Linked DNA regions of Diceros bicornis minor. The protein of the gene in region 1 interacts with the protein of each later gene in a pairwise test. Links are inferred from orthologs where the notes say so. Each region holds a gene or a part of one and is shown on either strand. Other genes may lie near its edges. The genes, in order: LHX9 and KHK.

Evidence for each region.
Region 2: the proteins of LHX9 (region 1) and KHK interact in binary tests that used the Homo sapiens proteins (3 or more experiments, as listed by UniProt). The two-hybrid records come from large-scale screens. The link is inferred for Diceros bicornis minor from reciprocal best matches to the Homo sapiens genes LHX9 and KHK.

What each region holds. Positions count from the first base shown.
Region 1 is NC_080777.1:26,690,350-26,694,255, forward strand, and holds the start of LHX9 (LIM/homeobox protein Lhx9), read left to right. Parts: upstream 1-1,014; 5' UTR 1,015-1,117; coding exon 1,118-1,291; intron 1,292-3,178; coding exon 3,179-3,381; intron 3,382-3,906. UniProt on the Homo sapiens protein: Involved in gonadal development.
Region 2 is NC_080751.1:55,730,744-55,734,649, reverse strand, and holds the start of KHK (ketohexokinase), read left to right. Parts: upstream 1-1,571; 5' UTR 1,572-2,087; coding exon 2,088-2,179; intron 2,180-3,906. Other genes in the region: EMILIN1 (EMILIN-1), read left to right, coding at 415-752. UniProt on the Homo sapiens protein: Catalyzes the phosphorylation of the ketose sugar fructose to fructose-1-phosphate.

The DNA.
Region 1 (3,906 bases):
TTTTGCAAAGAAAATCTTTTTGCCAAAAGTATACTCCAGAAACATGGGCTCTCCTTCTCTGCTTTTCACCTTGGGGGATGCTCCAGCCCCTGGTAGGGCCGGGGGCGCTTGGGGAGAGAAGGCGATTTACTTTTAAAAAGTGAGTTGAGGAAGAGGGGATGGGGAGGAGAGGAATATCCGTCCAATATTTATTCATTTGGGGTCCCCGTAAGTCTGGTTTTGTGGACCAGAAAGTCCACAGAGAGGAAACCCAAAGTTTGGAGGTGCCGTTCTCTATGTCTTGAGCCGGGGTCTGATCTTGAACTTGGACCCAATAGGCCGGCTCTCTGCCTCCCGCACCCGGGCAGGGACAATAAGGGCTCCTTCCCCCTTTAAAACGTGATTGCTGGGAATTCTTGGAAGGATATGTGGTTGTGTGTGTGTGTGTGTGCGCGCGCGCGCGCGCGCGCGTTGGGGGGAAGTAAATGCCCCCTCCTCCTGCCTGCCCCCTCCACCCCCCCCCGTAATGTTTGTCCCCGCTCGCCCATCACCAGGGGGTTGAGAGGAGTATGACAGGTCTTTGTTGTCTGAATAAAAATCCGTGGCAGCTCCGGGGAGAGAACTCCTCCTACTAAATTATCAAAAATGGGCTGGCTTTAGTCTCTTAACAAATTGGACACAGCTACGGCAGGAGCAGTCCCCAACCCAACCTACAGGCACTGGGAACCTTGGAGCAGCCAGGGACCGCTGAAAATAGCACTTCTTTTTCTTTCTTTGTGTTCAAAACTATTTTCTTTCTTTCTTCACCAGATTTTGTTGTCCTCCCCCGCTGCAGTTGTTTCCCATTAGTAACTCGATCTCTCGGAGCAGTAAGATTCGCCTTCTCCCTCTGCTCTCCCCTCCTCCGTGTTTGTTTGTTTTCTGCACATCTCCTTCAGGGAGCCGCTGGGGCTCCCCCCCCTTCTTCTTCTTTTTTTCTTTCCCGAGCAGACCAATTTCCACTCCGTCTGCCTCTTTCTTCCTCCCTCTCCCTCTTGCCCTCGGTCCCCGAGCGTCTCTGTGCTGCTCCAGCGCGCAGCACTCCGCGGTCCCTTCTGCTCCTGCACTCGGATGAGCTGAGAGCCCTGGGCGTGTGTATATGGAAATAGTGGGGTGCCGAGCAGAAGACAACTCGTGTCCTTTCCGCCCCCCAGCCATGCTCTTCCACGGGATCTCCGGAGGCCACATCCAAGGCATCATGGAGGAGATGGAGCGCAGATCCAAGACCGAGGCCCGCCTGGCCAAAGGCGCCCAGCTCAACGGCCGCGACGCGGTAAGGAAGGGCCCCGGGGTGCGGGAGCCGGCCCCCTGCGCGCCCTGGAAGCCGAGCCTCAAAACCCGGCCGGCGAGTTGAGGATGGCGGGGCATGGGGCGGCCGCTCCAGGCTGGCGGGCGGGTTTTCTCAGAAATAGCTCCCTTTCTGACTCGAAATGTCACCACTACTGAGACCCCGAGCTCGCTACCCGCTGCCGCCGCGGTTCCCGGGAGAACAGGGCGAGCCGGGAGTTAGAGGACGGAGTCGTCCTCTCCTGCAGATTTCAGACTCCGGGCTCCGGCCCCCTGGACTCCCGGGCCTCCCCGGCGAGTATCGGCGGCCAGAGGGTGAGCTGCGCGCGGCCGGGGCGCCCGGGCCAAGCAGGAGCCCGGGGGACTCTGGTCTCTGGGTCTGATGGGAACCTTTGGAATGGACTCGGACGTCACTGGGCTACCTCCGATTCTCCGGAAGCTTGGAGCTCGGCACCCCCAGACCCAATGATTTTCGGGGTCTCTGGCAGCCCAGCTCGGCCCCTCTAGCGAGACAGGATTGCGTTCAGCTCCCGGGCCGGGCGGGTGTAATGTGTAGAGGAATCTAATGAAAAACCCGGAGGAGCGGGGCAGCTAGACCAAGTGCGAGGAATGTCTAACCCTTAAACGATGTAATCAACCGCGGCTGTTACTACTATTCATAAGAATAAAAGTCACATCTGCTTAATAAAGAAAACCAATTAATAATCTATGTGCTTCCCTTTCCCACTTACCAGCCGGAGGGGAAAAACTAAAAAACTCTCTGGAAATGATTTCAGCCAAACAGAGCCGTGCAGATCCTTTGGCATCACACCGGATCTGCTAGCTCAAACTCACCTGGTAGCCTGCCTGGGCACGTCAGGGGGGTTTGGGGATTTGGGGTTCCATCAAGTAGCCCAGTTGGTAGATCTTTCCACGTTTGCAACATGAATTCAGTGCGGGCCCTTGGTTTGAGCAAAGGGGGAAACTTTACTTTTCCAGGCCCGCCAAAGTTTCGTGGAGAAGTCCAACCATTTCTGCTAGTCTTCAGGGACATGTCCAGCGGTTAACTTCTTTTTTCCTCTTTTGTGGCTATCCCGTTTAAACACAAAAAGCAGCAACCCAAACCCGAATTTCGCAGTGGGGCTGGGCTCATCAAGGTGAGGTTTCCCCATCCTCGGCTCATCATTCGGGAAGCAGGCGGGAAGCTTGGGCGTTAAACAGATTTTCAGGACAAAGATGTCCTGGGTGTGTTGATGCCAGGGAAAGAGGGACTGTACCGAGGGCACTGGACAACAAACCCTCCCTGGGGAACAGGCTCTTTATACTCCTGCCAGGAAGAGGACCAGTATCCTCGAAAATTAGAGAATAGTAGATCTGCCAAATATATCCGATCAAAACAGTGTCGACCAAATCATGAGCACAGGCATAATCTCTCCCTTCCTTTTAATTTCAACGCTGCTTATAAGAATGTAGAGAAATAGAATTGTAATAGTGTTTGTTTAAAAACAATTCGTGCTCATTCAAATCTCCTTTCCACTCCTCAATAACAATTTCCGTGGTTTTATTTTGTGTGCGTTGAAAGCCACATTTTTTAGCCTGTAATTATCCGAGTTCAGAAACATCCACGAAACTGTAGTCAATGCGCTCCTACTCCTTTTTAAAAGAGGCTTGAGATGGCCGGCTTCTCTTTAGGTGAACAATCCCGGGAGGACGGAACGCCGGTTGGGGCAGACACCCCAGAAAGGGGGTGAGCCGCAAAGGGGAAAATTGCAAACGTGTCCCCGATGTGTGCCTTTGCGCCGGGGCCCCGACCCTTGCCGCGCTCCGGACGCCTGGGCTCGCGCCGTGCGGCCCCCGCGCGCCCTCGTCAGCGCGCGGTCTGCTTGCCTTGCAGGGCATGCCCCCGCTGAGCCCCGAGAAGCCCGCTCTGTGCGCAGGCTGCGGGGGCAAGATCTCGGACAGGTACTACCTGCTGGCTGTGGACAAGCAGTGGCACCTGAGGTGCCTGAAGTGCTGTGAATGTAAGCTGGCCCTCGAGTCCGAGCTGACCTGCTTCGCCAAGGACGGTAGCATTTACTGCAAGGAGGATTACTACAGGTACTCCCACCCCTGTCTCTTACGCCCAGTACACCTGGCGCGGCCACCTGAGAGCCCGAGCCCCCTCCTTATGCCCCACCTTTCGCCCGTTCGGGGAAGGTTATCATCCCGAGACATGGGAAGACCCCTGCAGACCCTTCAAGCTGCACCCCCGTCCCCCGAAGGGCGGTGAGGATGGGTGGAAGGGACACCCAGGTTCAGAGCGGCATCAGTGCACACCATGCGCTCCCGCACTGCGCAGCCGGGTTGAGGGAACCTGGAGAAATCCGGGACAGTAAAGGAACGTGTCTCCGCCGACCGAGACGAAAGAGGTTTTTTTTTCCGTTTACTACGAACTGAGCAATGTCCGTGCCTTGGACTGAACTGGCGGCCCGGGCAGCAGCCGCAACCGGGTGTTAGGTTTTCGCGAGAGGGGCAGGAAACCTGTCAATGACCCTGAAAAGGAAAATCGCGGTTGCCGAAACCCAAGCCGCTCAGTTGCGAGTGCCTTTTACCGCTGGTTAGAGCTGTGCCCGCCGGACTGAA
Region 2 (3,906 bases), on another chromosome or scaffold:
GCCTAGGAGCGGGCAGGCAGGGCAGTGGGGGAAACCAGCGTGACTGTTCTCTTCCTTGCCCCTTCCAACAAGGTGACTCTTTTCATGGTCTGGTTTGGCGAGACCCCTGTTCTTTCCTTCACTTATTCATTCTCACTATAGCTTGGGCTGAGGGGTGGGGTGGGGAGGGGAGGAGCCATAAGTTCAACAGCTCTTTATTGGGGGCCTGCTCTTGCCCAAGCACTGTTTCAAGTGCTGGGGATGGGTAATGAACAAAACCCCAAATTCCCTGCCCTCCTGCAGCTGACATTCTAGTGGAAGAGAGGAAAAGACCTAGCGGGTCCCTCCCTAGTCCAGGATTTCTGGGTGGGCTCCCCGATGCCTTCCTGGTCCCTGCCACCTGTTCCCCCTCCTGACTGCCATCCTTGTCCCCAGGTGTATTCACGGCGCCACTGGCTGGCCGCTACTTGCTGAGCGCGGTGCTGACTGGGCACCGGCACGAGAAGGTCGAGGCTGTGCTGTCCCGCTCCAACTTGGGCGTGGCCCGCATCGACTCCGGTGGCTACGAGCCCGAGGGCCTGGAAAATAAGCCTGTGGCCGAGAGCCAGCCCAGCCCGGGCGCCCTGGGCGTCTTCAGCCTCATCCTGCCCCTGCAGGCCGGGGACACAGTCTGCATCGACCTGGTCATGGGGCAGCTGGCGCACTCGGAGGAGCCGCTCACCATCTTCAGCGGAGCCCTGCTCTACGGGGACCTGGAGCTTGAACAGGTGTAGACAGGGGGCCGGGCCAGAAGGGCCCGAAGTGTCTATGCCGGCCAAAGAGCCAGCAGGGGCGGTGGGCTCTCCCGGGTCCCCGCCTGGGACCGGGCGCCGTCCTGGCACCCCAGCCCCGGGCGAGCCGCCGTCTCCGGACCCGCAGCGGCACAGGCGACCAGAACAATCTCTCCGCGGCTGGAGCGCGCCGGGTCGGAGACTCCGGGGTCCCCTCGTCCAGACTTTTGGCCTGATCGCGGTCCCCTGCAGGACCCGGACTGCAGAGGAGCCGATCCTCACGCCCTTTGCTCCCCAAACTGGCCCTCTAGGCCGATTCCCTGGGCTCCAAGGCTCTCCCGGATAGGCTCCGGCCACCACCGCCATACTAAACTATTCAGGAATAAAGACACTTGGTTTTTTCTAAAAAAAACAAAACAAAACAAAACAAACCGTCTGCTCCAGTATGTGTTCAGGGGTGGTTCAGGAGTGCACAGCGGACGGGGAGGGAGGAGCCCCGGGTTCCGGACCCCGCTCGCTCCCCACCTCTCTGCTGGGGGTGGCTCTGCCCACGCTTGCTCTGGACGCGCGGGCGGCGAGGTGCGCCGGCTGCTGAGAGCCCCAGCCGGGCCCCGCTCCCCGTCACGCCCGTTCCTCCCGCGTCCGCCAGGGGGCGTCGGGAGCCGAGAACTCCGCGCCGCGGGGCGTCGTCTCCCGTCACGTGACTGCCGCCGCTCACCTTGCGGGCCCCGGCTGCTCCGCGGCGGGGGCGGGGCTTCGGGCTGGGATTGGCCGGGCCTCGGGGGCGGGCGGAGCTGCCGCGACCGCGCGAGCCGAGGCATCGGCTGCGGGGTCCCGGCTGCAGCTGCGAGGCCCAGCTCAACCCCGCCGGTCTAGGGTCTGGGTTGGGAGCTGCCAGTGGAGGAGAGGGCGGGGCAAGGGGCGTCTTTCTATTGCACTTTCTCTTTGCGTTCATGAGGTTGCCTGGCCGCGCTTTAGAGAGGTTTGCATTAGCTCCGAGTCCGTCTGACAAGTGAGGAAACTGAGGCCGAGAAGTGGGAGGCGTTGTCATCTGCTGGGTCACGCAACCTGCTAAGAGGAGGCCGGGGACCAAGACCTCGGGGTCTGCGCTCCCAGGCCCGCTTGGGTCGGTGGGCGTGGGGAGCAAGGGCCTTGCGTCGTTCCCTCCACCCAGCTGCACCCCTCGCCGCTGCAGGAGGCTCCCTGGAGGAGGAGCTCCGGACGCGGAGGAGGAGCCAGGGCAGCCCCGGGAGCGGGGACACAATCCTCCTTGATAAGAGGCAGAGCCCGAGAGGAACCCCGTCAGCCAGTTGGGCAGAAAGCTCCGGGAGCAGCCTCATGGAAGAGAAGCAGATCCTGTGCGTGGGGCTGGTGGTGCTGGACATCATCAATGTGGTGGACAAGTACCCGGAGGAGGACACGGATAGCAGGTAGGGGCGCCCGGGCCCCTCGGAGACCCCAGGGGCTTCTGCAGCCCCGTGTTTGTTCCCGGCAGCCAAGACTACAGGGCCGCGGAGCCGGGAGCCCCGCAGTGAGGCCGTGCGAGTTCAGCCTCCTCGGGAGCCGTGCACGGTGCCCGGTGCCCTCTGCCCAGGATCTGGGGAAAGAATTGGGGCCTTTAGTAATAAGACCCAGGCTTTGGATAGCATTGTGTTCACCAGTTCCCCTTTCAACCCTGGGACTGTGTCAGGCATTATTATCCCCATTTTACCCACAAGCAAGTAGAGACTGAGAGATGAAGTGATTTCCCCAAGGGCGCGCAGCTAGTACGGTGCTTGTTAACAAGACCTGTGCACTTGCCTCTCACTAGCGTTTACTTCTAATTTATTTACCATATATATAACTCATCTGTTTCTAAAAAAAAAATTGAGGTAGCTTACGATGAGAAGTATGTGCAGTTAGACTGTTGAAGAACATTTAAAACCAGGGTATTTGAGCTTCACTATAGCTCGGAGCTTGCTGGCACTGCAGGCAAATTTGGAGATACTATGTGTTATGGATAGAGGTGGTTCATGAGCCACGACAGGCTTTTCCCTGGTGCTAAATTCCAAAAGGAGTTTATCAGAAGTCCTTTTTACAAAAGTCAGTGGACAACATAGCAGACATCCTTCTCAGTTGTGAAACTGAAGAGTCATTTGTTGGTTCTTATATTCACTCTTGATGAGAATCACACCATTACACTGTAATTCCAAGAAGGCATTTCTCTGGTGTAGAATACGAGGCTTTCTCTTGGTGCAGTCTAGTGCTTAGACTACTGAGAACGATTGCTCCTTGGCTCTCAGTTGTCTCAGCCAAGAACTGGATAAAAGGCTAGTTTAAGATTGATTCGGGGAAGACACTGCAGCGCCAATAACCATGAGGCTAATTGAGGGGAGAGACCCGGGCATTCTTCAGGCTTTGGGTCCACCCTGCATGGTCACATGAATCGTTACATACTTTTCCCAAGGCTGAAGGGAACTTCAGGGTTAAGTTTTGTGTACAAATATACCTTAGCTTAAAAATTCCGCTTCATTTATTTCTCTTAATTAGTGGTTCTTTGGTACTTGCTCCTCTTATTGTAAGCTGCCACAGTTGTTATTATTATTCTTTTTGCAGCTGGAAGAATAGAAGTAACAGCCTGCACTGTTTACCTCACAGTATTATTGGAGCACAAATGAGAAATCATTAAAGTGCTTTGACTATGTATGCATAAGTTATCATTTTCGTTGTTGATGATGACAATGAAGCCCTTCAGGTGTATCTTGAGTTAGTCTCCTTTTATTAGATTTTCAGTAAAGATGGAGAAAAACTAAAGAAAAAAAGGTAACTATGTGAGGTGATGGATGTGTAACTAACCTTAATGTAACCATTTCGCAATATGTACGTATACCAAATCATCACTCTGTGCACCTTAAACTAGAATGTTATATGGCAATTATATTTCAATAAAGCTGGAAAAGAAAAAGGAAACAAACAAAAAGATGGAGAAAAACTGGTCTCCACCCAATAATCTTTTTAACTTTTGGCATTGACTAAGTTAGCTTTCCTCCACTTCTTCAATGGTCACAGCGTCCAGGTTTGCTTCCTGTCTTACTCGTTGTAACCGGCAGTTGTTATTGAAGTGGGCTCTCCTAAGACAGGAGCAGGTAGCAGAGTTGACACCTTTGGGAAGAGGCAC